7 linked regions of the Mus musculus genome follow. The main gene of each other region encodes a partner of the protein of the gene in region 7 in a complex. Links are inferred from orthologs where the notes say so. Each region holds a gene or a part of one and is shown on either strand. Other genes may lie near its edges. The genes, in order: Sike1, Ppp2ca, Strip1, Strip2, Ppp2r1a, Pdcd10 and Strn3.

Region 1 (3,734 bases), on a different chromosome or scaffold from region 7:
CCTAGCACCCATATGGTGGTGACTCACGACCTATGTAACTCTAGTCCCAGACCAACAGTGCCCTCTTCTGACCTTCCAGGGTACCAGCTATGCACATGATGCACAGACATCCATGGAGGTAAAACATTCATACACATAAGATATTGAAATAAATCTAAAATGAAAAGGCTTAATCGTTTAAAGTCCAGGTGTGGCAGAGCATACCTCTAGTAATCTGGAGGCAAGGTCAGGCAGGTATCTGTTTAAGGTCAGTGTGATCTGCATATCAATTTCTAGGCCAGCAAACTCCACTCAGTAGGACTTTGTCTTTAAAAAACAATTTTTTAAGCGAGCAATGGTGACGCACACCTTTAATCCCAGCACTTGAAAGGCAGAGGCAGGTGGATTTCTGAGTTCAAGGCCAACCTGGTCTACAGAGTGAGTTCCAGGACAGCCAGGGCTATACAGAGAAACCCTGTCTCGAAAAACCAAAAAAAGGGCTGGTGAGATGGCTCAGCAGATAGGAGCACTTGACCGCTCTTCCGAAGGTCCTGAGTTCAAATTCCAGCAACCACATGGTGGCTCACAACCACCCATAATGAGATCTGATGCCCTCTTCTGGCACATCTGAAGACAGCTACAGTGTACTTATGTATAATAATAAATAAATCTTAAAAAAGAAAAGCCAAAAAAAAATTTTTTTTTCCTCTTTCTGGGCCAAAATAGTATGTTCTGACATAGTTTAACAATTAAAACACAGGAAATATCTTTTCTCCCCAGCTTGAAAATAAGGAACTTCGAGAGTTACTGTCCATCAGCAGTGAATCTCTGCAGGTTGGAAAAGAAAGCTCTGTGGCTCCTGCCTCTCAGACCATCAAGTAACTGGACTTCCGAAGGCTGGCTACAGCTTGCCCGTCAGAGCGAGAAGCCGTGCCCTCCTCTCCTGCCGTGTCCAAGAGTCCTGCCGCAGACTTGACTTAGTGTTGGGTAGAGGTATGGGGTGGCAGTTTAGAATTGCCACTTGGTATTCATTGTCCACTAACTAGTTTGGGGTGTACTAGTGAAACTAGACAAGTCCCCCATTGCTGGGACAGAGATGACATTTGTCACTCTAGTCCGGAATCTCTATAAACTGTTACCTGCAGTTCAATGTTGTTTTTCACAGCTTGGAAACACTGAACACTTTTATTATAAGCCAGGATTTTATTTTATATAGGATTATAAAAATTCCTTCTAAGAGTTTTTCAAAGATTTAACTTTTTAAAAATACATATTTGGTGTAAACCTAGATTTTTTTTTTCTTCCACTTGTAAAAGTAGCATGACTTCAAAGAAGCAGATTGGCAGAGTCTCTGAGTGACGTCGCTCATCCATGGGGTTTGATCCTCTCCGGTGCTAGGAGTTGGCACTTTGTGGTCAGGTGTCTTTGCTCTTAATTTGAGAGAATCTATTAGTCCCCAGGAAATACGCTTGAAAACAAGTAAGCCGGGTTCGCGTTGCTCCTCCTCCTCCTCAAGGATCCACAGTCATTCAGAGAGTGCTGAGGAACTTGGGCCTGCCCCATCATGCACAGGGAGCTATTAGATGTACATGACTGTACATGTACATTGGACTTAAATGCCAAAAATAGCTTTTATTTATTTGACCAAGTAGTTTTCCATTCTGTCTGCCTAAGGAGTCTTCGGCTTAGGTAGTTGCCTTGTATGAGACATACACATACACACACACACACACACACACACACACACACACACACATACCTCACTCACAGGTTCCTAGCTCCTAGGCACTTTCATGGACACACAGCTGTGCTGTGCTGTGCTGTGCAGAGCAGCACCACTGGGATGGTTTAGACCGGCATCAGTACTTTGCTGTCTTTCCATCTGCTGGGTTTTCTCATGGAAGCATTTTATTACTCACAGAAAGTTACCACATTCCTGATGCCATGCATTCAGGCAATCAAGAACAACCTGAGATTCTAATAGCTCCCTGTCAGTTCCTTCTCATCTTGGTTTGCTCATATGTCAGGTTTATAAATAATTCCTTTTGCACTGTTTGCCCAGATGGACTTTGGTTTTTGTTCCCATGTTAACTTTCACTCCAGCTGCTCCCCTTGATGTTTCCCCTAAGGGCCCCAAGTGTGTACTCCACAAACCCATTCAGGGGTGGGTTCCTTTACCACTTGTCAGCTGTCACAGCAGGTCCCATCACAGTGAGAGCATTATCAGTCAGTCTATTTCAGCAGTGAGCATGGTGTCCCTTTCTTTATCTGCCTTCTGTTCCCGTAGCACTCACTACAAAGGTCTTTGCATCTAGCTTTCAGAGGAATCTCTCCATTGCAGTCCTGAGGGTAGAGCAAGCTTTCGGTGCCCTGTGTCGTATAAATTCTGCCTGGTGTTAGTGCTGTGAAGGCATTGCAGAGCTAGCACATTGAATGGAGAAAGAATGTTTCACACTTGTGTGAAGATGCTAATATCTCTTGCAATGGGTGGAAGTATTTAGTGTATAAAATTTTAGTATGAAATTATATTAACTAATAAAAACCTTTTTGAGAAGATTTGCTCATTTTACTGAGAAATGAGTCTAAGAAGTTGAGCTGGAAAAAAAAAGGAAGTTTAGCTGAGCAGTGGCGATGTACACCTGCAATCCCAGCACTTGGAAGGCAGAGGCACATCTCTTGAATTCGAGGACATGCAGGTTTACCTAGTGAGTCCCAGGAGACTACACAGGGAGACCCTGTCTTGAAAAAAGCAAAAAGAAGTATAGGAGATTTTTTTCACATATTCACATACATAGCAACCATGGCAAGTGTTCATGACATAGATGTCATAAGCAGCTTGCAATTATTCAATATATTCAGCAGTATAAACCTTTGAAAAGCACATTAACAACCTATTCATTGCAGAAGTCCTGAATGTATAATTTACCACTGAAGTCTATTTCCATGTTTCTTAAAATGCACCTAATGAAATAGAAATTTATGGATGGAATCTGGAATTTACATCTTAATAATCATTCCAGAAAACGGCAGTACCGGTTTAAGAACATGTCTGTTAGGGCTAGGAGATGGCTCAGCAGGTCTAAGTGCTTACCATGAAGTCAGATGGCCTGAGTTCAATTCCTCAGAACCCACATGAGGGAAGGAGAGAACCAACTTCTAAAAATTACCTTCTGACCTACAACACACAAACAGATAAATTGTGTATGATGTTCTGTGCAAATTATTTCACTAGGAGTTAAAAACAAACCGACTTTAAAATGAGAAGAGTGGTAAAGGGATATTACAGAGGGGTGGGATATAGCAGCGCTATTCCCCTCTATGCTGCCTGCCCGATAGCAGCAGATAAATTGGGCATGGTGGCACATGCCTGTAATCCCAGAATTTGGAGCAGAAGCAGGAAGAGCAGAAATCCAAGGTCATTCTTGGCTACATAGTAAATTCAAAACCAGCCTGGGCTACAAGAGACCCTGTCTCAAAAAACTAAACAAAATGTTGTGCAGATAATTTTGATGCAGTGTGTTACATCAGATGTAAGTGTAGGATACAGCACAGAAAGGGCTGTGTTATTTGAGAATCTAAAAGTTGACCAGGGAAGGGGGTGGGGGAGGGGTGGTGCTAGGAGAAAACATAGAAAACAGCTGCAGAATCGAAGTCCAGGGGGTCCTGCAATGGTTACTTCCTTATACTAAGGGGTTTTCTGTGTCAGCTGACACAGCATCCCCGCTTCAGTTCTTTACAGTTCCATACATACTAGA
Region 2 (4,396 bases), on a different chromosome or scaffold from region 7:
GCAAAAGTTCAGCACACATACTAAGAATGTGATTTTTGTAGAGTGTTGCTTCTGGTGAATTATCAAATGAAGAATTCCACATTTGGAAGTCAGTTTAATAACTTATACCTGCTTTTTAGGGTCCAATGTGTGACTTGCTGTGGTCAGATCCAGATGACCGTGGTGGCTGGGGGATATCTCCTCGGGGAGCTGGTTATACCTTTGGCCAAGATATTTCTGAGACATTTAATCATGCCAATGGCCTCACGTTGGTGTCCAGAGCTCACCAGCTGGTGATGGAGGTATGTTCTTTTCTTGAAACCTGTCAAATTAACTGTAGTAACTGAAGGAAAGGAGTTTGACACTGATGCTGTCAGCAAGATGTCCTTTATTCCTAGAGTCTGCCATGGGAGCTAAACCCTCTTCAGTAGATGGACAGTCAGAGGAAAGTCAGATCCATGGCTGATAGTGGGCATCCACTTAATGACTCGGAGGGACTTGGGATTAATGATGAAAGGATGAAGATGCAGAGCGAATGAGGAAGGGTATAATATATCGCAGTGGTTTATTTCACATTATCTAGTTTGTTTCTTTATAGGAAAAGAAAGAAACATCAAAATGTTGATGCCCTTTAGATAACTGGCTTGTAGATGATTTGAAAGAAGCCTTTCCTCTGGTAGGGGTCTTACCTTAAAACATTGACTGCCATACTTTGAGAATGAGATGAGAACATGGAGCATTCAAACTATGGCAGTGGGCAATCTCTTATTCTATAAGAGTTTGTTGTCAGTACTGATGGTCAGCCAAGTATAGTGGTGCATGCCTCATTAGTTCATTAGTTAGCTAGTTTGCTGGTTGGTTAGTTATTTAGGTGGCAGCTAAACTGCCTTGTAATCCAGACTAGCCTAGACTGTACAGTGAGACCCAAAAAATAGTTCATTTTAAAATCAAGTTTAAGGTTTGTCTTAGGGCTTTATTGCTATGAACAGACATCATGACCAAGGCAACTCTTATAAGGACAACATTTAATTGAGGCTGGATTACAGATTCAGAGGTTCAGTCTGTTATCATCAAGGCAGGAACATGGCAACATCCAGGCAGGCATGGGGCAGGAGGAGCTCAGAGTTCTACATCTTCATCTGAAGGCTGCTAGCAGAATACTGGCTTCCAGGAAGCTAGGATGAGATCTTATAGTTCACACCTACTCCAAGAGGGCCACACATAATAGTGCCACTTCCTGGCCCAAGCATACACAAACCATCACAAGGTCATGTCAATGAAAGACAGTATCTACATTTGGTGATGGGTAATATTTAAGTTGATTTGGTTGGTTGGTTTGTTGGTTTTTGCGGGATATGTTCGCCATGTAGATTAGGCTGTTCTCCATGCAGATTAGGCTCCATGTAGATTCACCTGCCTCTGCCTCCTGGGATTGAAAATGTGTACCACCATGCCTGGCTTGTTTTTCAATGCTTAAGACAAAACAAAAACAGGGCTGGAGAGATGGCTCAGCAGTTAAGATCACTGACTGCTCTTCCAGAGGTCCTGAGTTCAATTCCCAGCAACCACATGGTGGCTCACAACCATCTGTAATGGGATCTGATGCCCTCTGCTGGTGTGTCTGAAGATTGCAACAGTGTACTTACATAAAACAAGTAAATAAATCTTTTTCTAAAAAAGTATTTTTTTGGCAACACAGAGAAACCCTGTCTCAAAAAACCCCCAAAAACAAACAAACAAAAGTATTTTGTTTGTTTGTTTTAGCAACACATTGTTAAATGTACATTTTATAGGTTATGAGAAATACAGAAAATTAACCCCTTTGGAGTTTTTCTATCTTAATGTATTTTTCTGTTTTAATGGGTTCATATTTATGTAGGTTAGTAAGGTTTGTTTGGTTTTTTTTTTTTTTCCTGCCTCTTTTTTACAGGGATATAACTGGTGCCATGACCGGAACGTAGTAACAATTTTCAGTGCTCCAAACTATTGCTATCGTTGTGGTAACCAAGCTGCAATCATGGAACTTGACGACACTCTTAAGTATTCTTTGTAAGTATCTACTCTGAGCTAGCTTTGTGTTGTCCAGCCCTGCTTAAACCAAAGCATAGGTTGTTGACTTTTGACTAAATTTTTGTGGGAATGAACCTACACATAATAGAAACTAGCACTAGTGTCTCTTATTTGGTATGAATAACTTGTATGAGTTACTAGGTCTTCAACCTATAGTCCTAATTTATAGTCCACCATTGAGGGGAAGCTGAGGCAGGAACTAGAAGCAGCTCCTCAAATAACATCTACAGCCTAGATGTAATGTTACCTTCCACCAGAGGCAGGAGGAACTCTGTGAGTGAGGCCAGCTTGGTCTATATACAGAGTTTCAGGGGCTATATCAAGAAGCCATGACTCAAACAAAACAAAGCAGAGAGAAGTGTGTGGGCCCTTGCTTGTTGCTTATGCTCAATTAGCTTTCTTCATTCTTAAACAGATGAAGGCTCTCTGCCTAGGGAATGGTAACAGCCACGGTGGGCGTGGTGTTCTTACATCAATTAAGATGGTCTTCCACAGACATGCTCACAGGTCAACCTGATTTATATAAGTCTAGTCCTCAGTTAGAACTGTTCCCAGGTAATGGTTCTCTTGTGTCTGGTTAACAGCTAAAACTAACCATGTGTTTGTAGCCCAAGCTGGTCTAGAACTGTGATTTTCTTGCCTCAGTTTCCCAAGTGGTAATGTTAGAGCTGTGCCCCAATATACCTAGGTCTATTAAAGTTGGGTTCTATTCTTTTAAAATGTACTGAAGTTGGATGGGGAAGAAAATTTGAAAATTTGGAAGATGTTAGTTTTGTTAACTACATGGTATCTTCTGGAGTAGTAACACTGAGTCTTCCTTGTTTTTCAGCTTGCAGTTTGACCCAGCACCTCGTAGAGGCGAGCCACATGTCACTCGTCGTACCCCAGACTACTTCCTGTAATGAAAATGTAAACTTGTACAGTATTGCCATGAACCGTATATTGACCTAATGGAAATGGGAAGAGCAACAGTAACTCCAAAGTGTCAGAAAATAGTTAACATTCAAAAACTTGTTTTCACACGGACCAAAAGATGTGCCATATAAAATACAAAGCCTCTTGTCATCAACAGCCGTGACCACTTTAGAATGAACCAGTTCATTGCATGCTGACGCGACATTGTTGGTCAAGAATCCAGTTTCTGGCATAGCGCTATTTGTAGTTACTTTTGCTTTCTTGAGAGACTGCAGATATAGGATTAAACATTAACACCCGTGAGTCCAGTTGACTTCACTTAGCTGTAGCTTACTCAGCATGACTGTAGATGAGGATAGCAAACAATCATTGGAGCTTAATGAACATTTTTAAATAAGTACCAAGGCCTCCCCTCTTGTTGTGTTTCTTTCAGGGATACCATTAATTTAATTGTATGATTTGTCTGCACTCAGTTTCTCCCCTTCTCAAATCTCAGCCCCGCGTTGTTCTTTGTTACTGTCAGAAAACCTGGTGAGTTGTTTTGAACAGAACTGTTTCCCTCCTGTAAGATGATGTTACTGCACAAGTCACCGCAGTGTTTTCATAATAAACTTGAGAACTGAGAAAGTCAGGTTTGAATTGTATCAGTGGGCACGACTGGTGCTGTTTATTAACAAGATAAATCTATTGATCAATTTCAGAATTTGTAGAATCCCAGGTAAAGAAAAATAAAGATCAAGGCCACTGTGTAACCTCTCTGGCAACTCCTTGGTGTTCTTCAGAAGAACTTGGGGACCTGTTTGTCTGACATACCGCAGTTTGTCTTGTTGCTGGCCTGCGCTTGTGAAAGGAAATCTGTGCTGTTTTAGTGGGACTTGGTTGTTAAACCATAGAACTTGAGAGTTATGTTTTTAGGATTTTACTTAAAATGGCATGTTTTCAGGTAGAACTTAACAAACTAAATGATGTGTCTAATTAGTGTAGTTTCTGGTTACAAATATATTGCTATGTATATTTCATGGACTCTTTAAAATGATTGACAGAACGGTAAGTTCTTAACCAACATTTGTATATTTCTTGTCAAGTCATGTGATCTTAGAGTTAGTTAAACTTGTCTGGATAAGGTGTTAGAACCTTAGCTTGTGTTCCTTACCTGGTAAAGCAGTGAAGCCGAGTAGAAGCAATGCTGATGTGGGCTGATGTTTGCGCCAGGTCCGAGAATGGTGCCTGAGTGCCAAGCTCAGCGAGTAATGGGTTTCCCTTCTATTCTTTGACTTGGCTTAAAACCGAAGACAGTTCTTCTTGTGGGGACTGAATATTTGCTATTTTAAGCTATCTGGGCAAACATGAGGATGCTTGATCATTACTGTGTGAGTGTAGTAAATAAATGTTTCCTTGCTTTGTACTGTGTTGAATTTGGAACCAACAGTGA
Region 3 (4,396 bases), on a different chromosome or scaffold from region 7:
TCATGCATGCTTTTTAGAATAATGATACCAAAAAGGACATGGCGACCTAAGTTCTGCACCCCATTTTACGCAGTGCACGCTGGGCGGCTTTGAGGAGCTGCAGAGCATGAAGGCTGAGAAGCGCACTCTCCTGGGCCTTCCCCCTCTGCCTGAGGACAGCATCAAGGTCATCCGGAACATGAGGGCTGCCTCCCCACCAGCCTCTGCCTCAGACCTGATTGAGCAGCAGCAGAAGCGGGGCCGACGGGAGCACAAGGTGAGGCATCTCAGAGTACACACTCAGGGAGTGGGGTCGGGGCACATGATTCCTGGGCCAGCAGGTTATGAGAAGCCAGCTCCGATCAAGCTGATCAGGAGGCGTGCCTCCACAGCAGGGACACTGTCCCCAGCCTCAGCCCCAGTGTATAGCGGATACTTAACATCAGGGCAGCTTCTGAGGTTCTCTTCATTCTAGTCCTAAATCCTCCGTATTCCCTGCTGTTGTCAGGTCCCCATCTGAGATGGGTCTGTTCCATTTGAACTCTGTTCCTCGTCACCATCTCATTGGTTGGCTGCTTTTCTCAGCTCTTCTCTGTGCTTTCAGGCTCTGATAAAGCAGGACAATCTAGATGCCTTCAACGAGCGGGATCCCTATAAGGCTGACGACTCTCGGGAGGAGGAAGAGGAGAATGATGACGACAGCAGCCTGGAGGGGGAGGCTTTTCCCCTGGAGCGAGACGAGGTGATGCCTCCCCCACTACAGCACCCTCAGACTGACAGACTCACCTGCCCAAAAGGGCTCCCTTGGGCTCCCAAAGTTAGGTGAGTCTCAGTTCTAGAATATTCTTGAAGTGAGAGCCTTCATATCCTAGGTCAGTGTTGGCCTGGAGTCCTCTGCAAGGCTAAGATGACCTTAAGTTACCATGTGCTGTCCTGGGCACATCTGTGAGGACGGCCTTGCTGATGTCACACAGGATAGATAACCCTTGTGTGGTTCCTGTGTCAGTAATTTGAACTGGTCCAACTTGATAGTGAACAAAGGCAAGGAGAAAAAAATGAGTATTTAGGCAAACCTATCCCCATTCATCTTGGAGCTGTATGTGGCCTTTTATTTAAAAATGATAGATGGAGAATTTTTTAAAAACCCAATGTATTAAACAGTATGCTTGGGGGAGTTAATAGATGGGAAGGTAGCAGGAACTGTTAAAATGGTATATTGTAGCTGGGCATAGTGGCACACGCCTTTAATCCTAGCACTAGAGAGGCAGAGGCAGAGGCAGGTGGATGATGTCTGTGAGTTCCAGGCCAGTTGGTCTACAAAGCAAGTCCAGGACAACCAGGGCTACACAGAGAAACCTTGTTTTGAAAATAAAACCATCAAAAAAGAAGTATATTTGGTAGGCAGCAACTTAATAAAGAGATGTGTATATGAACTGATATAAAAGAGGGTATGTCCTGAGCTTTCTATGTTGTGTGAGAAGAATGTTTCTGTTGAGACAAGAAAATGACCTGTTTAAAGTTAGTAGCTTATGTCTCTTACACTTCATGGTGTTTAAATACTACTATTGTTTAAATAAGTGTTAAATACTACTATTGTTTAAATAAGTTGTGCTTTAAGTTTTATATATGTCCCTAATTTTGAGTCAACTGGCCATATGTATTATAGAAATATAAACATACTTTAATTGTATGAACCTAACAAAATTATGTAAAAAAACAAAGTAGTCAAAATTCAGGTTTTCCCACTTACTGTAAGAGACCTTTTCCTGTCTTGTAAACACCTGGAGATGCTTTGTCTGTTTGAACACAGGCCTGTGACTGGCACACCTTGAAGCAGTACTTGATAAAATCTGCCCCTCTTTCTTGCTTGGTAGAGAGAAAGACATTGAGATGTTCCTTGAATCCAGCCGCAGCAAGTTCATAGGCTACACTCTAGGAAGGTGAGTGTGACCTGAGGCCTCTTTGAAGTGCCCTTGCCTGGCCTTGGGGCAGCGGACCGGTGAGTGGCTCTCTGGGCTCAGCATAAGGCCTTCTTTATTCTCCAGTGACACCAACACAGTGGTGGGGCTGCCAAGGCCAATCCACGAAAGCATCAAGACATTGAAACAAGTAAGTGGCACTAAGGGAACGTTTGGCTTTGTTTGGTCCCAGGAGAATAAAGTGAGCCTGGGCCAAGGGAGAAGCCTTTCAGGGCTATTGTCTGCCAGCAAGAGCCTGGGAAGCATCTCTTCCTACGTCTGACTTCGGTTACAGATATGTGTGTCCCAGGCTTTAGAGTTCAGGGAGCCCACGAGGTATAAGGCAATTGAGAGGCACTGGCGGATGGATATGGTGCTGTCAGCTTTGCTGGTTATAGCATGGCTGGAGAGCAAGGCTTAAGAGCACCATAGTGGGTGTGCTCTAGCATACTCTATAAACCAAGCAAGCTCAGTTTCCCAGGCCCAGAGAGCTGGAGTGGAGGGCAGACAGGACCCAGGCTCTCAGCAGGCAGGCAGGTGGAGTCCCAGACCATCCTGTTTTCCTCTTGTGCTCACTGCTGAGAGGGAGCTGAGGGAGCTGTGGGTGTGAGGATTAGCGGAGAGACGACCCCAGGGGTCAGGAGGCTTTCCAGTGTGTCTAAACTGTAACATTTTAAAGTCCAGTTTTGAAATTGGTAGTACCAGGTGGTCTCTGCACTAGGCTTTTAAGAATACAGTTAGTTTTGCCTCTGATATCTTTCTCCTGTCATTTTTTAAAAAAGATTTTATTTATTATTATATGTAAGTATACTGTAGCTGTCTTTAGACACACCAGAGGAGAGCATCAGATCTTATTATGGATGGTTGTGAGCCACCATGTGGTTGCTGGGATTTGAACTCAGGACCTCTGGAAGAGCAGTCAGTGCTCTTAACCACTGAGCCATCTCTCCAGGCCCCCTCCTGTCGTTTTTGCTTCTGAAAGCCCTTTCCACTTTATTTTGCTTTTTTGCTAACCTCTATGGGCGCTTTTCACACAGGCTTTTTTGTCAGAAGTAGATTGCAGGTTTAAGTTAGGAATCTTTGTTGTGACTTAGCCCTCTCTCAGAAGGCCAAAATAAACTCTTGGGTCTTTGCCAGGTGAGGGGGGAGTCTGGCCAGAGAAGAGGGGTGTCTTTCCTCAGCACCTTCTTTCCTGCCTCTCTCTCCAGCACAAGTATACATCAATCGCAGAGGTCCAGGCACAGATGGAGGAGGAATACCTTCGCTCTCCTCTCTCAGGGGTGAGTTAAGAGACCACAAAGTCCCCAACTGCTCTCAGTCTCTGAGCCGGGCCTGGCCACAAGGCTGCTCCAGGAGTCGGCCTCTCCTTGAATAGATTGCCATCCATGTCTTCCTTTCAGTCTGTGAATGGCACCTTGAACATAAAACTCAATCTCTCTGTGCTTTGTTTCCTACCTGTAAAAGAAGACCAGCGCTAGACTAAGGCCGTCTCTCTCTCTTATCTACTTATTAATTTGAGATATCATCTATCTGTAGCCCAGATGGCCTCAAACACCTTTCCCAACCTTACCGGTGCTGGGTTACAAGTGTTTGCTAGCATGCATGACTGTGGTACCTCATGAAGAATTAGTTAAATGATTCCGGGTGACATTCTTGGGATGTCATATGTTTCAGAGCCTCCTGTCAGTATCACCAACATCACCCTTCACTTTGATACTTAGAGATTCTATTCCAGCCAGCTAGTAAACTGCCTCAGGGGACTGTAGCCTGAGCATGGGTTGTGTGACTTTTGTGTTAAAGGGAGAAGAGGAAGTTGAACAAGTTCCTGCAGAAACCCTCTATCAAGGCTTGCTCCCCAGCCTGCCTCAGTATATGGTGAGTTCTCTGTGTCTGAGACCGCGAAGGAGCACGGGCTGCTCTCCTTCCTTCAGCCTGCAAGGCTCCTGCCACCTGAGGACCCTCAGGAGTCCCACTTCTCAGGGCATCGTTGTGGTCCTAGGTTCTGATGCTCACCTGAGTGGTCTATTTTTCCCAGATTGCCCTTCTGAAGATCCTACTGGCAGCAGCTCCCACATCGAAAGCCAAAACAGACTCCATCAACATCCTGGCAGATGTTCTGCCCGAGGAGATGCCGTGAGTGTCAGGGCCATGAGTGGAACAGGTTGAAGCAAGGGTGGAAGGGTGGGGCCAGGAGTTTTCAGGTGAGTTGCCTTCCTTGACCCAGCTTTGCTGCAGGTGAAGTTTAGGGTATTTCTGATTCAGACAAAGGAATCAATTGGATAAGTTTCACTAGTAAGGGAGATGGCTAGGCCTGATGCCAACACAGATTGTCACTGAGTGAATTTCTAAGTGAATTAGGTATGCTGGTTTTTCTTTGTAAATAGATGGGCAGTAGACTCTCTCAGAGCCCTTATTCTAGAGCTGTGTGGTTGGCACACCTTGCATAGGATGGTTAGCTC
Region 4 (3,480 bases), on a different chromosome or scaffold from region 7:
TGCCTGGTGACCCCATAGTGGGAGGAGAAAGCTAGAAGCTGTCCACTGACTTCTATATGAGTACTATGAAGTGTTTGCACACACGTGTAAAACACGTACATGTATACATGTGACAAAATTTAACTAAATAGTTTTAAATCTTAAGAAAACAACAAAAAGACCAGGTGGTGATGGCCCGTGCCTTTAATCCCAGCACTCAGGAGTTTGAAGCCAGCCTGGCAACAGAGCAAGGTTTAGGACAGCCAAGACTACACAGAGAAACCCCGTCTCAAAAAAAAGAAATTATCTCCAATGATACACAAGAAACTAGTAATAGTGGAAATGGTATATATGTCAGATAATCTTTGTTTTTAATTATATATTATAATTTTTAAATTTTTTAGATTTATCCATTTTATTTGTGTTTTGCCTTCATGTATATATGTGTACCACTCTGTACTTGGTACCCACAGAGGTCAGAAGAAGGCATTGGATCCTATGGAAATGGAGTTACGGATGGTTGTGAACTATGATGAGGATGCTGGGAATAGAACCCAGGTCCTCTAGAAGAGCAACAAGTGTTCTTAGATGCTAAGCAGTCTTTCTAGTGTGAATATTATAAACTTTACATGAATTAGTTCTTGGTTTTGTTGTATATCACAAAACTGGCTTTGAACTCATGATTAGCCTCTGAATATTGTGATTGCAGGCATGTGCCATTGTGTGTAGCTTAATGTGTGTGTGTGTGTGTGTGTGTGTGTGTGTGTGTGTGTGTGTGTGTGTTAGACAGTGTTTCACTCACCCCAGGCTATCCTCAAACTCCTTATACAGGTCTTCTGTATTGTTGAAGACTAACTCTTGCGTAGAGTATTTAAAGTTCATGGACTTAAGTTATTGGCAGACAAAATAGGTATCTCATTTACAGTCACTCAGTAATATGCTATTGGTATTTAGAAATCTGGACATAAAAATTGAATTTTATGTTTCATTCAATTCAAGATACTTGGGTCTCTTAGGATAGCCAGGCTTGTTTATATGGTCTGAGTTGGAAATCCTAAGAAACTTCACATGATGATGGACTATTTGTTACCCCGTCCCTGTTTCATTGGGCAGATGTTAGTGGTGTTTAAGTCAGCTCCAATCTTAAAGCGAGCTCTCAAAGTCAAACAGGCCATGCTACAACTTTATGTCCTGAAGCTACTAAAGATACAGACCAAGTACCTTGGGCGCCAGTGGAGAAAAAGCAACATGAAGACCATGTCAGCCATTTACCAGAAAGTGCGCCACCGCATGAATGATGACTGGGCTTATGGGAATGGTGAGTATTCCCAAAGTAGATGGTAGGGGTTCTTAGTGAACGTGGAGCTCCTTAATTGGCTAGGCTGACTGGCCACTGAGCTCCCGGGATTCTCCTGTCTCTGCTCCTGCAGCACCGTGGTTATAAATGCATACTGCTGCACCTGGCTTTTATGTAGGTCTCATGATCCGAAGTTAGGTCCCTTTGCCATCTCCTGAGCCCCTAAATATGATATAAACTTTATGATGTGGTAAAATGTTTGCCTCCTTATAGTTTTTGTTTTAGCTTTGTTGTTTTGTTTTATTTGAGACATAGTCTCGCTATGTAGCCCTGGCTGTCCTAGAACTTGCTATATAGACTAGGCTGACCTCAGACTCAGGAGATCTGCCTGCATCTGCCCTCCAAATGCTAAGACTGAAGGCATGCACCACCATGCCCGGCTGAGTTGGTCCAGACTGACTCTTCATGTTCTGCTTCCATCTCCTCTTTTCACCCACTATGGAAAGCTCAATAAGAGGAATTTAATTGCTCTTAACAATTATAATAAATTACGGGGCTGGCGAGATGGCTCAGTGGTTAAGAGCACCGACTGCTCTTCTGAAGGTCCCGAGTTCAAATCCCAGCAACCACATGGTGGCTCACAACCATCCGTAACGAAATCTGATGCCCTCTTCTGGAGTATCTGAGGACAGCTACAGTGTACTTACATATAATAAATAAATAAATCTTTAAAAAAATAAATAAATAAATAAATAAATAAATTACTAGAAAGAAATAAGCAAGAGATTACAATACTAAGCCCTCTTATCTCCTTTCTCAGCAGTTTCTAATCTGCCAAAGATCGTTTCTGTATATGTTAGTTTATATGTGAGCATATGAATACTTTAAAAACCTGTAGGCATGCTATGTGTCTACTTTATATATAGCTCTTAAAAGAACATTTTGAGCAGTTTCACTGTTAGGAACCCATAGACCATGCTCTGCGGAGGGGAGTAACATCCTGAGTTGTATGTATCTTTTTCTTCCTCTCTTCCTATGTCAGACATCGATGCCAGACCATGGGACTTCCAAGCAGAAGAATGTACCCTGAGGGCCAACATTGAGGCTTTTAACAGCCGCCGATATGATAAGCCTCAGGACTCAGAATTCTCACCTGTGGATAACTGCTTGCAGAGCGTGCTGGGGCAGAGGCTAGATCTGCCTGAAGATTTCCATTATTCCTATGAGCTCTGGCTGGAGAGAGAGGTGTTCTCACAGCCCATCTGCTGGGAGGAGCTGCTCCAGAATCACTGAGCTCTTGTCAGCAACGCAGCGGACGGAGGTTGGCTCCAGTAATGTGCTTTGCCTGTCCTGCCCACTCAGCCTTCATACTGAACTCTAGGAATGTGTGTCAAGGGCAGTTCCAGCCCAGCATCCAGCACAGACAGACACCCAGCATAGTTCAGGGCTATTCTGGATACCAATAGACTCAAAGGTGGTTGCAAGACTGGGGTCCTGAGTCAAAGCAAATGGATCAACTTGCCCTAGGCTCAGCTAGGTGCCTAGTTGGCCTTCAAATCTCCCGATGGATCAGACCTGGACAGACTCTTGGAAACCTGCTTTAATCTTGCCTAGAACCCTGCTCACTTTTGTCAGCCACAATAGTGAAAGGAAGTTTGTCATGGCATTTGACCCACGACATTCATCTCCAGCAGGGGGATAGGGACAGGCCATAAAATAAGCCTTGTCTTCTTGCCCACTCAAAATGCCTGGGACGTATCATTTAGCAAAACCAACTTTAGACTGTATTTCACACTTCAAATGTTGATGCTCATCTCTTCATAAAATCATCATTGGTTCTAAGATGGTTTGAGAGCACTGCATCTTTATAAAGGATGACTGTTTCCAAAACACTGCATGTTCCAGAACAGCATACTGTGTAGGGTTTTTTTTTTCCTTAAGAGCTCTGTGTTCAATGTAAAAAATTATTTCATGTGTATTTTCTATAGCACATTGAATGCTTCATCATTTGAAAAGAACCACAATTAATATAATATGGCCTTCTCTAGGAATAGCTTAGACTTTTTACAAAGTACTTCAGTTTTTTCCTATGAATGCCAGCTTTATTACTCATGTACCATCTACAGACGTAAAACCCAACAGCCCCCTGCCCCAAGAAGGAAGTTGAAAAAACATTAACGAAAAGAGCCTATGCCAGGGAGTCC
Region 5 (4,996 bases), on a different chromosome or scaffold from region 7:
GGAACAGTGGAAGGACCAAAGAGGAACCAAATCTCACTTTGGTAGTAAAAAGATCTCAAGTTAAAGTGCTATAAACGCTCTCCCCACCCCTAAGCCCCCCAAAATTTATTTTCACTCAAACTATAAAATGTGCAGAGAGCTACAGAAAGATAAAACAAAAACAAAAACAAAACAAAACAAACAAAAACCCCACAAATATAGCAAACACTCCCTAGATGCTGGCAGTTAGCCTGCAGGTGCTCAGTGCACTGCTGAGTATCCAGAAAAGAACATGTTCTTTAAATTGCTGGTAAATGTTCTCAGCTTCACAGGCCAGTCTCTAAATCACTCAACTTGGGCTCACAGCACAACAGCTGCAATGGGAAGGAACCACTAGGTAAACAAACAAACATGTCTTTTATTCCAGCAAAGCTTTACTTAATAAAGCTACTGGCATGGCTTTCACTCAAGCAAAACTTTACTTGCAAAAGCTGGCTGTGGATGGATATGGTACTAAGGCTGTCTTTTGCTGACCTGTATACTAGTTTTCAACATTCTTCCCTCAATTTCTTACATGCCTGTGCTCCTCTTCCATCTGAACTATGGGAAATGCATGGGCCAGGGTGACAACTGGTGAGCAGTGAGCAGCAGCCCTAAGGACAATGGATGGTATCAGGGAGCAACCACCATTCCATTCATAATCTTCATGCCAGCAATAATAGCATCATGGATCATCTATAAAGTGTTCCCTGTATACTCAGGTAGTTTATTCATACTCTGCTCTGAGGTTTTCTAGAAAAACCATATTAACAGGCGAGGATGCTGATGCAAAACAAGAAGCACTTGATAGAAAGCAGTGAGTTCCCAAGCAGAACCTAAGCAGTCTGACTATCTGCACCGTCACTGTGTCTAGGAGTAGGGGTCCTGAACACCACGCTTCCTGTCCATTTGTGGACAGTTCTTTCACTCTACTCTTTCTGTCAACAGTGTGCATTGTTTTGTTCAGGAAGATGGCACTGTGAATGTTGGAGTAAAGTGGCAGAAAGCTGTGTAGCCCTGTTGCCTAATTCAAGGCTATGCTGTCATGAGGTCATTTTCATCCAGCAAGACCTCTGACAGACTTCTGATCTCCAGAAACATAATAAAACTTTATGTTGTTGTATACTAAACTTATGGTGACTTGTTACAGGATCCTGACAAAATTGGCACACTGACCTAAGCTAGACAAGTTCCTTATTGTCTCTAGGTGAACATTTCATCCAACAGCTTCCCTCAACCTTAGCACTAAAATCTTTGTTTCCTACCTAAGAAAGATGTCCTATATACTGCAATCATGCTTAACAGCATTCATGACTTCAACCTACTAAAAGCAGCAACAATCTCCCAGTTGTGGCAACCAAACCATCCCTAGACATTACTAAACACCCTTGGAGCCAAAAAACTAGAACTATAGCCATTGCGCGCATACACACACACACACACACACACACACACACACACTCTCTCTCTCTCTCTATCTGGATTCATCTCCAACTTTTTAAACTTTACATCCTAGAAGGAGCCTCCCTCAACTAGCCTAATTCCTCACCCAACTGTCTAGAGGTTACACACTCTGCCCAGAATCTAATGGCTCCTTCAACAAGCAGGTACTGTTTCAAATTTCAACAAGACTTTCCCATGCTTACTCTACATTTCTTATTTTCTCCTTAAAATTTTCCATAGTCAACATAATGCCTATTTATCTGTGACCACTCACTAAAAGGTTAATTCCTTTAAGGCAAGTTTTGTTCTTTTGTTCTTCAACTATCCAAAATACCACTCTGAAGAAAGGCCCAGCAAACACTTGCTGATTCACTCTTTCAACATTGACAAGTCTCATTCTTTCTTACATGTGGTAATATGCAGATTTAGTTCTGTTTACCTGTTTCACATCTAGCCTTTGTACAGCAACCAGACTGCTTCTTTCTTGATACAGTGTCACCAGGCTAGCCTTGACACTGCCTTTGCCTCCTGAGTGCTGGGATTGCTAGCATGCATGCACCACTATACCAAGCTCTGGTCTCCTTTATGACCCAATAACATTCCTCATGCTTTGCATGTGTTTACAGAACATATGCAAATAAATTCATTCAGTATACCCAAAACCAGATTATTATTCCCATTTAACAGAAGAGAAACACAGACTGCCTGAGTCAATTTGCAAAAATTGCAAGATCCAGGAGTACAAATCCAGTCTTGCCAACAATGGAACCAGAGTCACACATAAATACGTAAGACTTAGAGGATAGGCCCAGGTTCAGGAAGGTGACTGAGTGCAGCATGAACAATTCTATATAAAAGGAAAAGCAGAGGGCTGTAGCACAGTGCCACAATAGCCACACCCCCAAAATAATTGCTAACATTTATAGAGCCTTTACATACAGCCAGTTTCATTTTACTACTTTTCCTCGGCCACCGAGGGAAACCAGGACTATTATTAGCCGCTATTTGTAGAAAACAGAAGCCAGGGGCGATGAAATAATGTGCACACAAGGTCATCCTCAGGTGAGAGGATGCGGCCTTGAGGTCTGACCTCTTTTTCAAATCCAAAGCAGTCCGACAACTCTGGGGTCCTGGCTCATTCTTCTCCCATGAACCAGAACTATCAACTCTCTTGGCAGGCCGGCTTGGGACCAGGTCGGAGAACAGGTGGGTCTGTGCACGTTACCCACCCCAGCTACGGCTAGTTAAATCTCAGGAGAGGATACTTTCACCGCCTCCTTCCTCCTCCTTCAGGAGAGCTAACCCAAAATACAAGGTGGAGGTCGGTGAAGAATGGACAGAAATCTCGGTATCAGTCCCCAATCCCAATATCAGTCCCCACTCCTTCCAGTTAAAACGAAAACATTAAAAGCAATGGGAACTCTACCCGGGTCGCCAGGACCCCTGAGGGTTTCTACTCAGCAGGTCACGCGCCCCCGCCGATTCTCTACAAAGAGCCATTCTGAGTCCGCCGCCAATCACCGACTGGCAGGCGGCAACAAGACCGCCACCCTATCTCGGGCCGCCCAGGCCCAGATCTGGGGCGGCCGCGCGCACTCAGGTAGGACCCTCGAGGCTTGCCCTCCGCTTGGCCGGGCACCCAATGAAGGCTGCCATCTCATCGAACCTTGCTATTAAGAAAGATGAGACCTGAATTCTGATTGGCTGCCGCTGCTTTCCGCCACTCCCGGAGAACCCGGAGCCATCGCTCCCACATTCCGCGAAGATCCCCGTCCCCGATCTCCCCCACACACTCTAACGGAAGGATCCCCGTACCTGAACGTCCTCATTGCGGAGTTCATCTATGAGCACCGCAATAGGATAGAGCGAATCGTCACCGTCGGCAGCTGCCATCTTGGCTCCCTGGCGTTTCTATCAGGCAGCAGCGAGCTCCAGGCGGAATCCGGGATCGGGCGGGGCGGTGCCGGGGAAAGGACGCAAAGCGGACGTGGGGGCGCCCGAGCCGCCCTACAGGGGCCGTCCCGCCGCCATTGCCGCACAAGCTCGCGTCTGTTTGGTCTGAACCAACCAAGTCCCGCCTACTTCTCATTCACCATTGGCCGGACGAATGAGATGTTTTTCCCGAAGGACGAGAGGAACCGGAAGTGAAGTATCTTAGTGACCAAGATTGTGCCCGCCTACGTCGCTGCTAGCAACCACGGGAACAAGCAGGTCTAGCTGCCAATGAGAGTCGAGGGTGGGAGGTGGCTAAGATGGCCCCTTGGGGAGAGGCGGAGAAGACTTAAGCTGGAGTCTTGGGAGCTATGCGTGACGTAATGAAGGACATGCTTGTCTGGTTCTGCTATACCGGTCTCTGTAAAGGAGGGACTCCTAAGTAGGGAGATTTGCCTTGCTTGGTTTCTAGGATGCGGTTCTGGGGCTCTTGGCGTTCAAGGCTTTATTACCCACCCCCCTTACCCGGAAGAAATAGAGCGGCCAGAGCGAGTCTTCATCCTGCCGGGGAGCTTCTAGGTAGCTAGTAAAAAATGAACAAGGTCGAAAGTTTTTTGAGGATGGACCTCTGCCTCATAATGAGCTTGGGCGCTGTGATTCACTTAGAAGGCGAATATAAAACTATCACAATCCTTTCTCCTTAAGGTTGAAAATATGAAAGGGAAGAAGGTGGGCATAGCGGGGTTGTTAGATGCTATCAAGGTTGTTAAAGCGTGGCTATTTCTATACTTGATTTTTGTTTTCTCCTTTCGACTCCCCTCGCCTCTCCCCTCCTCCATCATCCTCCCCCCCACACCTCCATTCCTCCCTTCCCCCTTCTTCCTCTCCAATTAGAGAGAAAATTGAGAAAGCACCCTCACAGAGAGTGGAAATAAACAAACAAACAAACAAACAACCCCCCCCCCCTCACAGAGAGTAGGCGTTCCTAAGTAATGATGCAGATCACATATCTCTGGCCCTGAATAGGAAACACTTGGTCTTGTGATAACGAACAGAAGGCATAGCCATGTGTGAAAGTGCACATGCTTTCAATCATGAAACTCAGGAAGCAAAAACTTGTCATCTTTCTGAGATTGACATCATCTTGGTCTACATAGTGACCTCCGGGCCAGTCAAAGGTCTATGGTGTAACCCTCAAAAGACAGCCATACCATTGCCTCATCCCATAAGAGTTAATCCAAATGGTCTGGCTTAGAAACTTCAGTTTATACGCTACCTCACTAAAAGAGTTTGGCACAATGGTACCATTGTCTATTCTTTGTGAGTGTATTTTCTTTTATGATCTCTCTGGCCATTCTTCAGTTTCTTTCCTTTATATGAACTCTTCTATACTGTACTTTATGTGTTTCTGAAACCAATCAACAGAAAACTGGGGAACTCAGGAGAGGCTATGGAGAGGAATTCCAAACAGTGCCTTCTTGGACCATTTTTGATTTAACAGATCTTTTGGAAAAAACATCCTCTTGCCTGTCTCCTCTCCTTTCAGATATAGTAAAGTTTTCTAGTCTTACTTTGAACTGCCCTAGGTTAAACATTGTAGGAA
Region 6 (4,396 bases), on a different chromosome or scaffold from region 7:
CTCAGGTAACATAAATATGAGTTGTAGATATACAGACTTCTGCCTAAGGTCAGAGCTGGTGCTAGGCTGTTTGAGCACTTTCTCTCATACAAAGCCTCAGTGTCTCTTATCTCTTAGGTGCTTTGCCTCATTGTGGACTTAGACCTGAATAATGAGACAGAGCTGTGCGAACTTTCCTGTTCTGTTCTTCCTCCCAGCTTATTCTATAGGGCAGAGCTTATTGAGGCTATCAGCCTCCTGGCCTGATGCTCTTCTAGAAGCTAAGTTCCTGGCCCTACAATCAAGTTAAGTTACTGGGACTTTGTCTAGCCCTGGGTTCCACTGTGACTTTGCTAAAGCTGCTGCATCCTTGGGGCATGAACAATTTTCTTTTCCTCTAACTGCAAGGTACCTTGCTCTGTACTGGGCTTCTTGAAGCTGAAAGACAAGGATGATGGCAATTCTTTCCTTCCGACCTCTTTAAGTGTAGCTAAAAGCAGACTCTCTAGTCACTCACCTGATTGCCCTAGCTTTGTGCAGATATTTTGTTATTTGTGATAGCTCTTTAATTTGCTGTATCTGAGGAAAGCCTCACTAGAGACTGATTCAGCAGCCTGTCATCATGCTCACTTTTCAGATTCCCAGTTCTTAAAAGCAGATACAGATAGACTCTAGCAAAGCCTTTTCTCTTCTTCCTGTCTTGCTGTTCTTTGCAGTTAAGCAGTCTGTTTCTGGGCTGCTCGCTTGACCTGCCCTGTCCAAAAATTTCTGTTGCATTCACATCTTTCGCATTAGCCATGACAACAAGTTAAAAATTACTTTTTTATAGAATACTAACATATGTGATCTATGTGTTCACTGTTACCTTCTTTATATTTATTTTAATTAGCTCAATATGATTTTATTGAAACTTTCATATGTAGAGATTTAACATTTTATATTGGTTACAACTATAGTTTTTCTCAAAAACACAGCAAATTCTGCTGACACTATTTTGCTGAATATGATTGACTATGCCCTTCACAGCAGTGTAAAATATTGAAATTGCTTGAAGATAGAGAGGTCCTTACATGATTTAGGCTGCTACTCTTAAATAGGAGCTGCGATGCTAGCAAGTGGCCAGGTGACATTTCTGTGTGAAAATAATTCTACTTCAGTAGGGAACGTTTTTTGTTCTAGCCTAATGTCAATGGTTTACATATAAGAGGTGGTATATATTCATCATAATGCTTAGGGAAAAAAGGCATTACTATGGCAGGATGAGCTGAAGTACCTCATGATCGGAGAGAATTAAGTATGCAAATGAGCACTTTGAGGGTCTGGCAAGGCATGCCTCAGTTGGTAGAGAGCAGTGTGCCTTGCATGCATAAAAAGCAAGATCCAATCCCCAACAGTGCACTACACTTGGGATGATTGCACTCTGGATATGGAGCCAAGAGGATCAGAAAAGCTCAAAGCTTTTGGTTACATGTAGAGTTCAAAGCTAGCCTGGTTACTTGAGAACATATCTCAGAAACAAAACAAAAAGATACATGGATATAGATATATGAATAGCCAACCATGTGGTGCATACCTTTAATCCCAGCACTGAGGCAGAGGCAGGATAGGTAATCCATGGCAGTTTCTGAGCTACAGGCCACTCTGGCAGGTATCAGTGGGGGAAGTGGAGTGGCATATCATGATTCATAATTATAAATATATATTTCTTAATGTAGATGATTTTAAAGATTTTTGTTGTTGCTGTTCCTTTCCAAACAGGGATATAGCTAGTGCAATAAAAGAACTACTTGATACAGTGAATAATGTCTTCAAAAAATATCAGTACCAGAACCGCAGGGTAAGTTGCTTGTTGCCATTGTACATATGGGCAGTTGTTTTATGACCTTTGCACTAAAGGGTTTGGCTTGTGGAAATTGTCTCATTGCATTTGTCCTCAGATGTAAATGTTGTGTGGTTATGTGAGTAAACACTCCTCAGACCTACGGACTATAAATCATGCCATATTCATTGTTGCCATTGCCCTTTGACTTGGCCTTGTGTGCTCTTCTTCTGTCTTAGCCTGTTTTTCTTTTTATAAACATAGGCACTTGAACACCAAAAGAAAGAATTTGTAAAATACTCCAAAAGTTTCAGTGACACTCTGAAGACTTATTTTAAAGATGGCAAGTAAGTATTGTCATTTATACTTCTCTGCTCTAATTAAATGAATGTTTTTCTGGGATATTGGAACCAGGTTATTTGGGCCAGTGAGAGGTCTCCATGGGTAAAGGCTTTCACAGCCTGGCCTCACAGCCTGAATTTAATTCCACACCCACTTGGTGAAAGGGGCCGGGAGATGGAGAAAATTGAATGTAAAAATTAAAACGGAAAAGCTCTGTCAGCTAAGCTCTGTCTTCCATTGTTAAGAGTCGAGTCATCTGATTAACAAAGGCAGAGGATTGGAGAGTGGCTACTGTTCTTACCACAACTTAAAACCTACAGTAAGGATTTTTGACACTTTCTGAAAAGGACCTGATAATGAAATGTAAATTGTACAGTCTTCACCTGAATGTGGTTGGTTGGTTTGTTTTTTTTGGGAGGGGAGAGGGGGGCATTTGGTGTTTTCCTTTTTTGATATTAAAAGATAAAAAGTAAATCTTAACTTACTGGCTTGTACCAGCCCTAATTTTTTTTTCTTAAACTTTAGTAGCATCTGATGGTATGGGTCTACTATTGGGGTTCAATAATTGAACATTTTTTTAAGATTGTTCAGTTGCTGTCAAAGGTACCAGCCCCTTGAAAAACTAGTACACAGAGGATAGGATTTAATAACAATAATTCGCAATCCTCTCTCCATATTAAAACCATCCTGGGTCAGTTTTTAAAAAGCTCATTGCCACAGTTCCACTTTGAGAGATTTCTACCTTGACTTGAATAGGAACATGGTCTAGATGTTTTGTAAATGTGTCCAGGTGGCTTTCGAGTGATCCCAGGCTAGAGATCCATATTGCTAAAGGGAAGATAAAATAGCTAAATAAGAGAACACTAAAAAGATTGGAAAGAAGACAAAAGCAAATGACTATTTAAGAAAATGATATGGAAATTGTAAGTGGAACATTAGGGGTTTTTTTGTTGTTGTTGTTGTTTTTTAAATTAGGTATTTTCTTATTTTACATTTCAAATGCTATCCCAAAAGTCCCCCATACCCTCCTCCGCCCCCCACGCACTCCCCTACCCACCCACTCCCACTTCTTGGCCCTGGTGTTCCCCTGTACTGAGGCATATAAAGTTTGCAAGAGCTAGAGAAAGTACCCAAGGAGCTGAAGGGTATTCATCCTATTGGAGAAACAACAATATGAACTAACCAGTACCCCCAGAGCTCGTGTCTCTAGCTGCATATGTAGCAGAAGATGGCCTAGTCAGCCATCATTGGGAACATTAGTTTTAAGTTTATACAAAACTTCCTATAGAGCCCTGTGTAGATCTAGGGATTGTGTTTTGTATATGTACTCAGTATTTAAACAGATAGTCTGGGTTATGACATCTGCAATGTGCTTTCATACAGGTTGTTGACTGGACTTTAGTTAAGATGCTAGAAATTATATTGAAAAAGACATATACTTATGTATATATATAAAGCTAGAAAATACTCCAAACAGGCACCGCAAACCTTGAAGTTTTAAGATCCCATATAAAACCACACATTTGTGATATTAGTATAAAATATTTTAAAAGTACATGGATATAAAACTTTTACAATCAGTTTTAATGTTCAGGCAAATATAAATATTTTCATTTATATTACAAATTAAAGATAGTTACATTAATAGTTTTATGTTCCATATGCAAATTCAAATTGTTTAGGGAAAATGTTTTGTGACATAGTTTAATAAACTAAGCCCAAATAGCCGAAGGTATGATTTAGATAAGGGTATAATAATTTCTAACTTTAATTAATCATGTACAATGAATGTTGAAAGGCAGGAGTTTATAGTTCACTAATCTAAAATTTGTATATATTGATATTAAGCTTGCTACTATTTTTCCAATCTCTACAGCTCTAAATTCATTTTTTTTTTTTTTTGTTTAAATGTTGTGAATTTTGTACTTGCTTACTCCAAATGGAAAATTGTTAGTGGAGCAAAATCTTTGAAGACATCTTGTACTAGGGAGACAAATTCTCATTGACTCAACTGGTGAAGATCCAACCTTCATCCCTGGTACAATGAGGGACTGATAAGGCTGTATAATGAGGGAACCATGAGCCTCTGAGAGAACATCCTGGCTCTTAAAGTAGCTTTGTCCCCTTCTCTCATACATTACATCTTCTCACAGTTTTCTCTCCTTCCACTCCTCCTGGTCCCTCCCCCAACCTCTCCCCTCCCCCAGATCAAGTACTCCTCTGCTTCCCTTCCAAAGGGGGAAGAGAGAGAGGCAG
Region 7 (4,396 bases):
GGAGGGGGCTGGTGAGATGGCTCAGTGGGTAAGAGCACCCGACTGCTCTTCCGAAGGTCCAGAGTTCAAATCCCAGCAACCACATGGTGGCTCACAACCATCTGTAACAAGATCTGACTCCCTCTTCTGGAGTGTCTGAAGACAGCTACAGTGTACTTACATATAATAAATAAATAAATCTTTAAAAAAAATTTTTTTTTTTTGAGGAAACTTTTGATACTACTTTGTTGATGTACTAGAGATGATGACTCTATGGCAATTTCTGTTTATTGTTTTTTTTTTTTTTAATCTAGTAGTTCTTTTTCTTTTTTCTTTTCTTTTTTTCTTTTTTAAGATTTATTTAATTTATATGAGTACAATGTTGCTGTCTTCAGACACCCCAGAAGAGGGCATCCCATCCAATTACAGATGGTTGTGAGCCACCATGTGGTTGCTGGGAATTGAACTCAGGACCTCTGGCAGAGCAGTCAGTGCTCTTAACCCCTGAGTCATCTCTCCAGCCCAGGTTCTTTTTCTTATAGTTGGAAATTTTGCTACTTGTATCCTACTGATAACCCTGGTGAAATTAAAGTCATAGCCTATTAAGTATTTGGTTTAGATGAGTGAACTTTGGAGGAATGGTCTGGAATCTGAGATCCTTGAGGGGGGATTAGTCCATCTATCAATCCCTGGCTGAGAACTTATTCTTTCACATACCTTGAACATGTGAAAATTGTGTATTTGTGCTTACATGTATGTGTATAAATTTACATATCTATTCTTTAAATAGATACTTATATGTGTCTATATAAAGGCATGTAACCTGTGTTTATGTATCTCAAAAACGTTTCAACACTGAGGCTTTTTTAGGTATTGAGATAATTGGCTCTTACTCAATGGTAGTTAGTCATACTCTCCCCTCCCCTTCCCCTCCTCCCTCTTCCTTTCTCTTCTCTTCTCTTCTCTCCCCTCCCCTTCCCCTCCTCCCTCTTCCCTTCTCTTCTCTTCTCTTCTCTTCTCTTCTCTTCTCTTCTCTTCTCTTCTCTTCTCTTCTCTTCTCTCCCCTCCCCTTCCCCTCCCCCTCCCCCTCCCCCTCCCTCTCCTCTCTTCAAGACAGGATTCTCTGGCTATCCTGGAACGCCTATAGATTAGGCTGCCTCTGCATCCTGAGTACTGGGATCAAAGGTGTGCACCACCACACCTGCCTTAATTCATTTTTTAAAAAAGATTGTTTTATGTATATGAGTTTTGTCTGGATGTATACATGTGCACCACATATATGCTGATTGCCTACATAAGTCAGAGGGGAGGGTATAGGATGTCCTGGAACTTAAAGTTGACATCATTCTCTTAGACCTGGAATTAGGCTATAACGAAGCTATTGAGACAAAGAAAAAGTTAATTTGTGTGATTGTGGCTTTTTTTCTTTAATTTTTAATATGATTTGAAGGTGGCAGATGTTAACAATATGTTGAATTTTAGCATTTAATTTTCTCTTGATAGGTATCTTCAGGAAGTAGGATACACAGATACAATATTAGATGTACGATCTCAACGGGTAAGGTCATTACTTGGACTGTCTAATTCAGAGCCAAATGGATCTGTAGAAGCAAAGAATTTAGAACAGATCTTGAATGGTGGTGAATCTCCTAAGCAAAAAGGACAAGAAATCAAAAGGTATGATTTGTATTTGTTGATTAACATCATTTAACTTATGGAAGTCAAAATCAGTGATACAACAGTGGCTTTTCATTGGTAGTCTCATTTTCTTTCCTTTTTTTTTTTTTTAAGATGAGCCAGGTTTTTTTTTTTTTTTTTAAGATTTATTTATTTATTTATTATATGTAAGTACATTGTAGCCGTCCTCAGACACTCCAGAAGAGAGGGTCAGATCTTGTTACGGATGGTTGTGAGCCACCATGTGGTTGCTGGGACTTGAACTCTGGACCTTCGGAAGAGCAGTCGGGTGCTCTAACCCACTGAGCCATCTCACCAGCCCTATATTTTCTATAGTTGCATTTATTGTTAGATATTAAATGAATCTATCAAAGCCACTTTTTTATATATAGTAGTAAAATAGATTATTGTTATTAGCTGTTACTGGAGTAGTTTTGAAATACTTGAAAACATTTTAATAGATTAAAGATACTTATTTGCTGTATAAAAAAAATTGATGCTCACAGTCATCTATAGGATGGAACACAGGGTCCCCAATGGAGGAGCTAGAGAAAGTATTCAAGGAGCTGAAGTGGTCTGCAACCCTATAGGTGGAACAACAATATGAACTACCCAGTATCCCCCAGAGCTTGTGTCTCTAGCTGCATATGTATCAGAAGATGGCCTAGTCAGCCATCATTGGGAAGAGAGGCCCCTTGGTCTAGCAAACTTTATATGCCTCAGTATAGGGGAACACCAGGGCCAAGAAGTGGGAGTGAGTGGGTAGGGGAGCGGGGCGGGGGAGAGTATAGGGAACTTTTGGGATAGCATTTGAAATGTAAATGAAGAAAATATCTAATAAAAAATGTCGGGGGGGGGGAGATTTATAAGATGGATTGGTACCTCTCGGGTTTAGGAACCCTAACTAGATAATGGAAGGGAATGAAGAAATTACAGACATTGGACACATATACACAGGAAAACTGGGATGGCTTCCTGGACACTCTGATGGAGAAGTACATCACCCAGAAAGCTTAGTGTGTTTATTATATAAAACTGAACAAGGAAGTGGGGGTTATGGTGTACAGCTGAATAAGGAGGTTAGCTAGTCTTGGTAAGGAGCAGTCCCCACAGGGGAGCAGTCCTCACAGGGGAGCGAGCAGTCTTCAGGACCTTCATTTCTGGGTTTGGGGGTTAGAAAGCTACTATGGGCATTTCTACACAAACTGTTAGCATTCACAATTGGATCAGAGGAAGGTTTTGCTACCACATTGAGCCTCATCCTGTAAAGGGTTTGCAACCCCCATGGGGCTGAGGTTTAGTCACTCGGGTCTTTTTTTTTTTCTTTTTGTATTTTTGAGACAAGGTTCTTTAGGTGGCTCTGGCTGGCCTATAACTCAAAGATCTTCCTGCTTCTGCCACCCAACCACTGGGTTGATCAAAATCATGCATATGACCACACCAAGCCTGGATCGCTCATGTCAACAACGTACATCTACTCAGAACTTCCTCTGCTCCCCAGAGTGGTATATCTTGTGTAATATATGCTTTATAATTTTAAATATGGGCAGTTCTAATAAATTTAGCTTTTGTGTTTTACTATTTAGCCTTCCAATATTTAGGCTAAAGTATAAGTGGTTGTAAATATTAAAAAAATTGCTAACTTGTTTTTTAAATATTTTTCAGAAATAATAGCATGTTTGATCATTTAATCTTAGTAGATTATTTTTCTTTTTAAAGACTTATTTTTAATTATGCTGGGGTGTGTGTGTGTGTGAGATGGGAGGTTATGTACATATAAGTTGTAAGTGCGTGCAAAGGCTCAAAGAAGGCATTGTATCCATTAGAGCCAAAGTTCATACCATTGTAAGCCACCTGATGTGGGTGTTGGGACCCAAACTCAGGTCTACTGAAAGATCTCTTACCTATAGTCTTACCTGCTGAGCCATTTTCCGTCCCCAGATTTTATTTTCTTATAGCATTTACCTAAAATGTAGACAAAAAGCTTTGGTTGAAACTTATTAAACACAGAACAATCCTTATTTTAATTATAGAGCACAAATAATCTTTAAAGATACTCTAGAATAAAAGTTTTAGGCACTATATTATAATTAAGGTATCTTGAACCAGGAGCCTACTGGGAAAGGAGGATCAGGAGTTAAAGGTTATTTTCATCAACATAATGAGTTGAGACTAATCTGAATTATGTAAGATCTTGTCTCACAACAACAAAAAATTAGGTTGTGTTTGAATTGCAGATGCCACCTTCAAGTAGTTTTAAACTAGGAATTAGAAGGGTCAGAATGTGGATTATTGATTTAACACTTGTCTAGCATGTGTGACATCCTGGGTTCAATTTGTAGTATCACTAGATAACAAGAAGGGTATAGGAATAGAAAGCAGGAAGAAATACCAGAGTCAATCTTTGAAATAGTTGGAATCATCTTTTCTCTTTTCTACAGGCCCCCTGGTGATGTTCTCGAGACATTCAATTTCTTAGAAAATGCTGATGACAGTGATGAAGAAGAAAATGACATGATTGAGGGCATCCCAGAAGGAAAAGACAAACTTCGGATCCATAAGCACAAAGTAGGAGAGTTAACGATATTCCTCCACACAGTGATTTGAACAGTAATTATTTTAGTTGTACTTAAAAGGTTTATAATAACTGCCAGCTCCTACTCCGTTCATGTACATATGGCAGGAATTATGATTTCATATGTTATTCACTAAATGATCTGAGAGAAGGTCTATTTTTAAA

The links.
Region 1: the proteins of Strn3 (region 7) and Sike1 are in contact, whole or in part, in a crystal structure (PDB 6AKL), measured with the Homo sapiens proteins. The link is inferred for Mus musculus from reciprocal best matches to the Homo sapiens genes STRN3 and SIKE1. Residues at the interface, in NP_001077362.1 of Homo sapiens: Arg176, Leu179, Tyr182, Leu183, Val186, Tyr188; in NP_079349.2 of Homo sapiens: Glu96, His97, Ala100, Leu103, Ile104, Ser106, Lys107.
Region 2: Strn3 (region 7) and Ppp2ca share a complex: the UniProt entries of both Homo sapiens proteins name them as parts of the core of STRIPAK complex. The link is inferred for Mus musculus from reciprocal best matches to the Homo sapiens genes STRN3 and PPP2CA.
Region 3: the proteins of Strn3 (region 7) and Strip1 are in contact, whole or in part, in a cryo-EM structure (PDB 7K36), measured with the Homo sapiens proteins. The link is inferred for Mus musculus from reciprocal best matches to the Homo sapiens genes STRN3 and STRIP1. Residues at the interface, in NP_001077362.1 of Homo sapiens: Thr64, Pro66, Gly67, Leu69, His70, Tyr71, Gln73, His74, Val88, Glu89, Ala91, Glu92, Ala95, Arg96, Phe99, Leu100, Glu103, Gly106, Gln107, Leu110, Asp113, Leu114; in NP_149079.2 of Homo sapiens: Arg441, Ile445, Tyr447, Leu449, Thr455, Val456, Val457, Gly458, Leu459, Arg491, Ser492, Pro493, Leu494, Ser495, Phe792, Leu793, Pro794, Val795, Asn797, Cys798, Leu799, Val802.
Region 4: Strn3 (region 7) and Strip2 share a complex: the UniProt entries of both Homo sapiens proteins name them as parts of the core of STRIPAK complex. The link is inferred for Mus musculus from reciprocal best matches to the Homo sapiens genes STRN3 and STRIP2.
Region 5: the proteins of Strn3 (region 7) and Ppp2r1a are in contact, whole or in part, in a crystal structure (PDB 6IUR), measured with the Homo sapiens proteins. The link is inferred for Mus musculus from reciprocal best matches to the Homo sapiens genes STRN3 and PPP2R1A. Residues at the interface, in NP_001077362.1 of Homo sapiens: Asn109, Leu110, Asp113, Arg116, Arg117, Lys119, Met120, Leu121, Tyr123, Ala124; in NP_055040.2 of Homo sapiens: Leu10, Pro12, Val15, Asp18, Glu19, Asn22, Leu27, Asn30, Ser31, Lys34, Leu35, Thr37, Ile38, Leu40, Ala41.
Region 6: Strn3 (region 7) and Pdcd10 share a complex: the UniProt entries of both Homo sapiens proteins name them as parts of the core of STRIPAK complex. The link is inferred for Mus musculus from reciprocal best matches to the Homo sapiens genes STRN3 and PDCD10.

What each region holds. Positions count from the first base shown.
Region 1 is NC_000069.6:103,000,949-103,004,682, forward strand, and holds the end of Sike1 (suppressor of IKBKE 1), read left to right. Parts: intron 1-759; coding exon 760-861; 3' UTR 862-2,966; downstream 2,967-3,734.
Region 2 is NC_000077.6:52,119,024-52,123,419, forward strand, and holds the end of Ppp2ca (serine/threonine-protein phosphatase 2A catalytic subunit alpha isoform), read left to right. Parts: intron 1-119; coding exon 120-281; intron 282-1,909; coding exon 1,910-2,028; intron 2,029-2,878; coding exon 2,879-2,951; 3' UTR 2,952-3,726; downstream 3,727-4,396. UniProt on the Homo sapiens protein: Catalytic subunit of protein phosphatase 2A (PP2A), a serine/threonine phosphatase involved in the regulation of a wide variety of enzymes, signal transduction pathways, and cellular events.
Region 3 is NC_000069.6:107,617,732-107,622,127, reverse strand, and holds part of Strip1 (striatin-interacting protein 1), read left to right. Parts: intron 1-73; coding exon 74-256; intron 257-583; coding exon 584-801; intron 802-1,853; coding exon 1,854-1,919; intron 1,920-2,024; coding exon 2,025-2,088; intron 2,089-3,145; coding exon 3,146-3,217; intron 3,218-3,737; coding exon 3,738-3,812; intron 3,813-3,972; coding exon 3,973-4,070; intron 4,071-4,396. UniProt on the Homo sapiens protein: Plays a role in the regulation of cell morphology and cytoskeletal organization. Required in the cortical actin filament dynamics and cell shape. Part of the striatin-interacting phosphatase and kinase (STRIPAK) complexes.
Region 4 is NC_000072.6:29,954,340-29,957,819, forward strand, and holds part of Strip2 (striatin-interacting proteins 2), read left to right. Parts: intron 1-1,092; coding exon 1,093-1,297; intron 1,298-2,318; coding exon 2,319-2,569; 3' UTR 2,570-3,480. UniProt on the Homo sapiens protein: Plays a role in the regulation of cell morphology and cytoskeletal organization. Required in the control of cell shape. Calmodulin-binding scaffolding protein which is the center of the striatin-interacting phosphatase and kinase (STRIPAK) complexes.
Region 5 is NC_000083.6:20,943,864-20,948,859, reverse strand, and holds the start of Ppp2r1a (serine/threonine-protein phosphatase 2A 65 kDa regulatory subunit A alpha isoform), read right to left. Parts: upstream 3,407-4,996; 5' UTR 3,355-3,406; coding exon 3,277-3,354; intron 1-3,276. UniProt on the Homo sapiens protein: The PR65 subunit of protein phosphatase 2A serves as a scaffolding molecule to coordinate the assembly of the catalytic subunit and a variable regulatory B subunit.
Region 6 is NC_000069.6:75,518,451-75,522,846, reverse strand, and holds part of Pdcd10 (programmed cell death protein 10), read left to right. Parts: intron 1-1,737; coding exon 1,738-1,816; intron 1,817-2,062; coding exon 2,063-2,145; intron 2,146-4,396. UniProt on the Homo sapiens protein: Promotes cell proliferation. Modulates apoptotic pathways. Increases mitogen-activated protein kinase activity and STK26 activity. Important for cell migration, and for normal structure and assembly of the Golgi complex.
Region 7 is NC_000078.6:51,649,932-51,654,327, reverse strand, and holds part of Strn3 (striatin-3), read left to right. Parts: intron 1-1,482; coding exon 1,483-1,656; intron 1,657-4,097; coding exon 4,098-4,224; intron 4,225-4,396. UniProt on the Homo sapiens protein: Calmodulin-binding scaffolding protein which is the center of the striatin-interacting phosphatase and kinase (STRIPAK) complexes.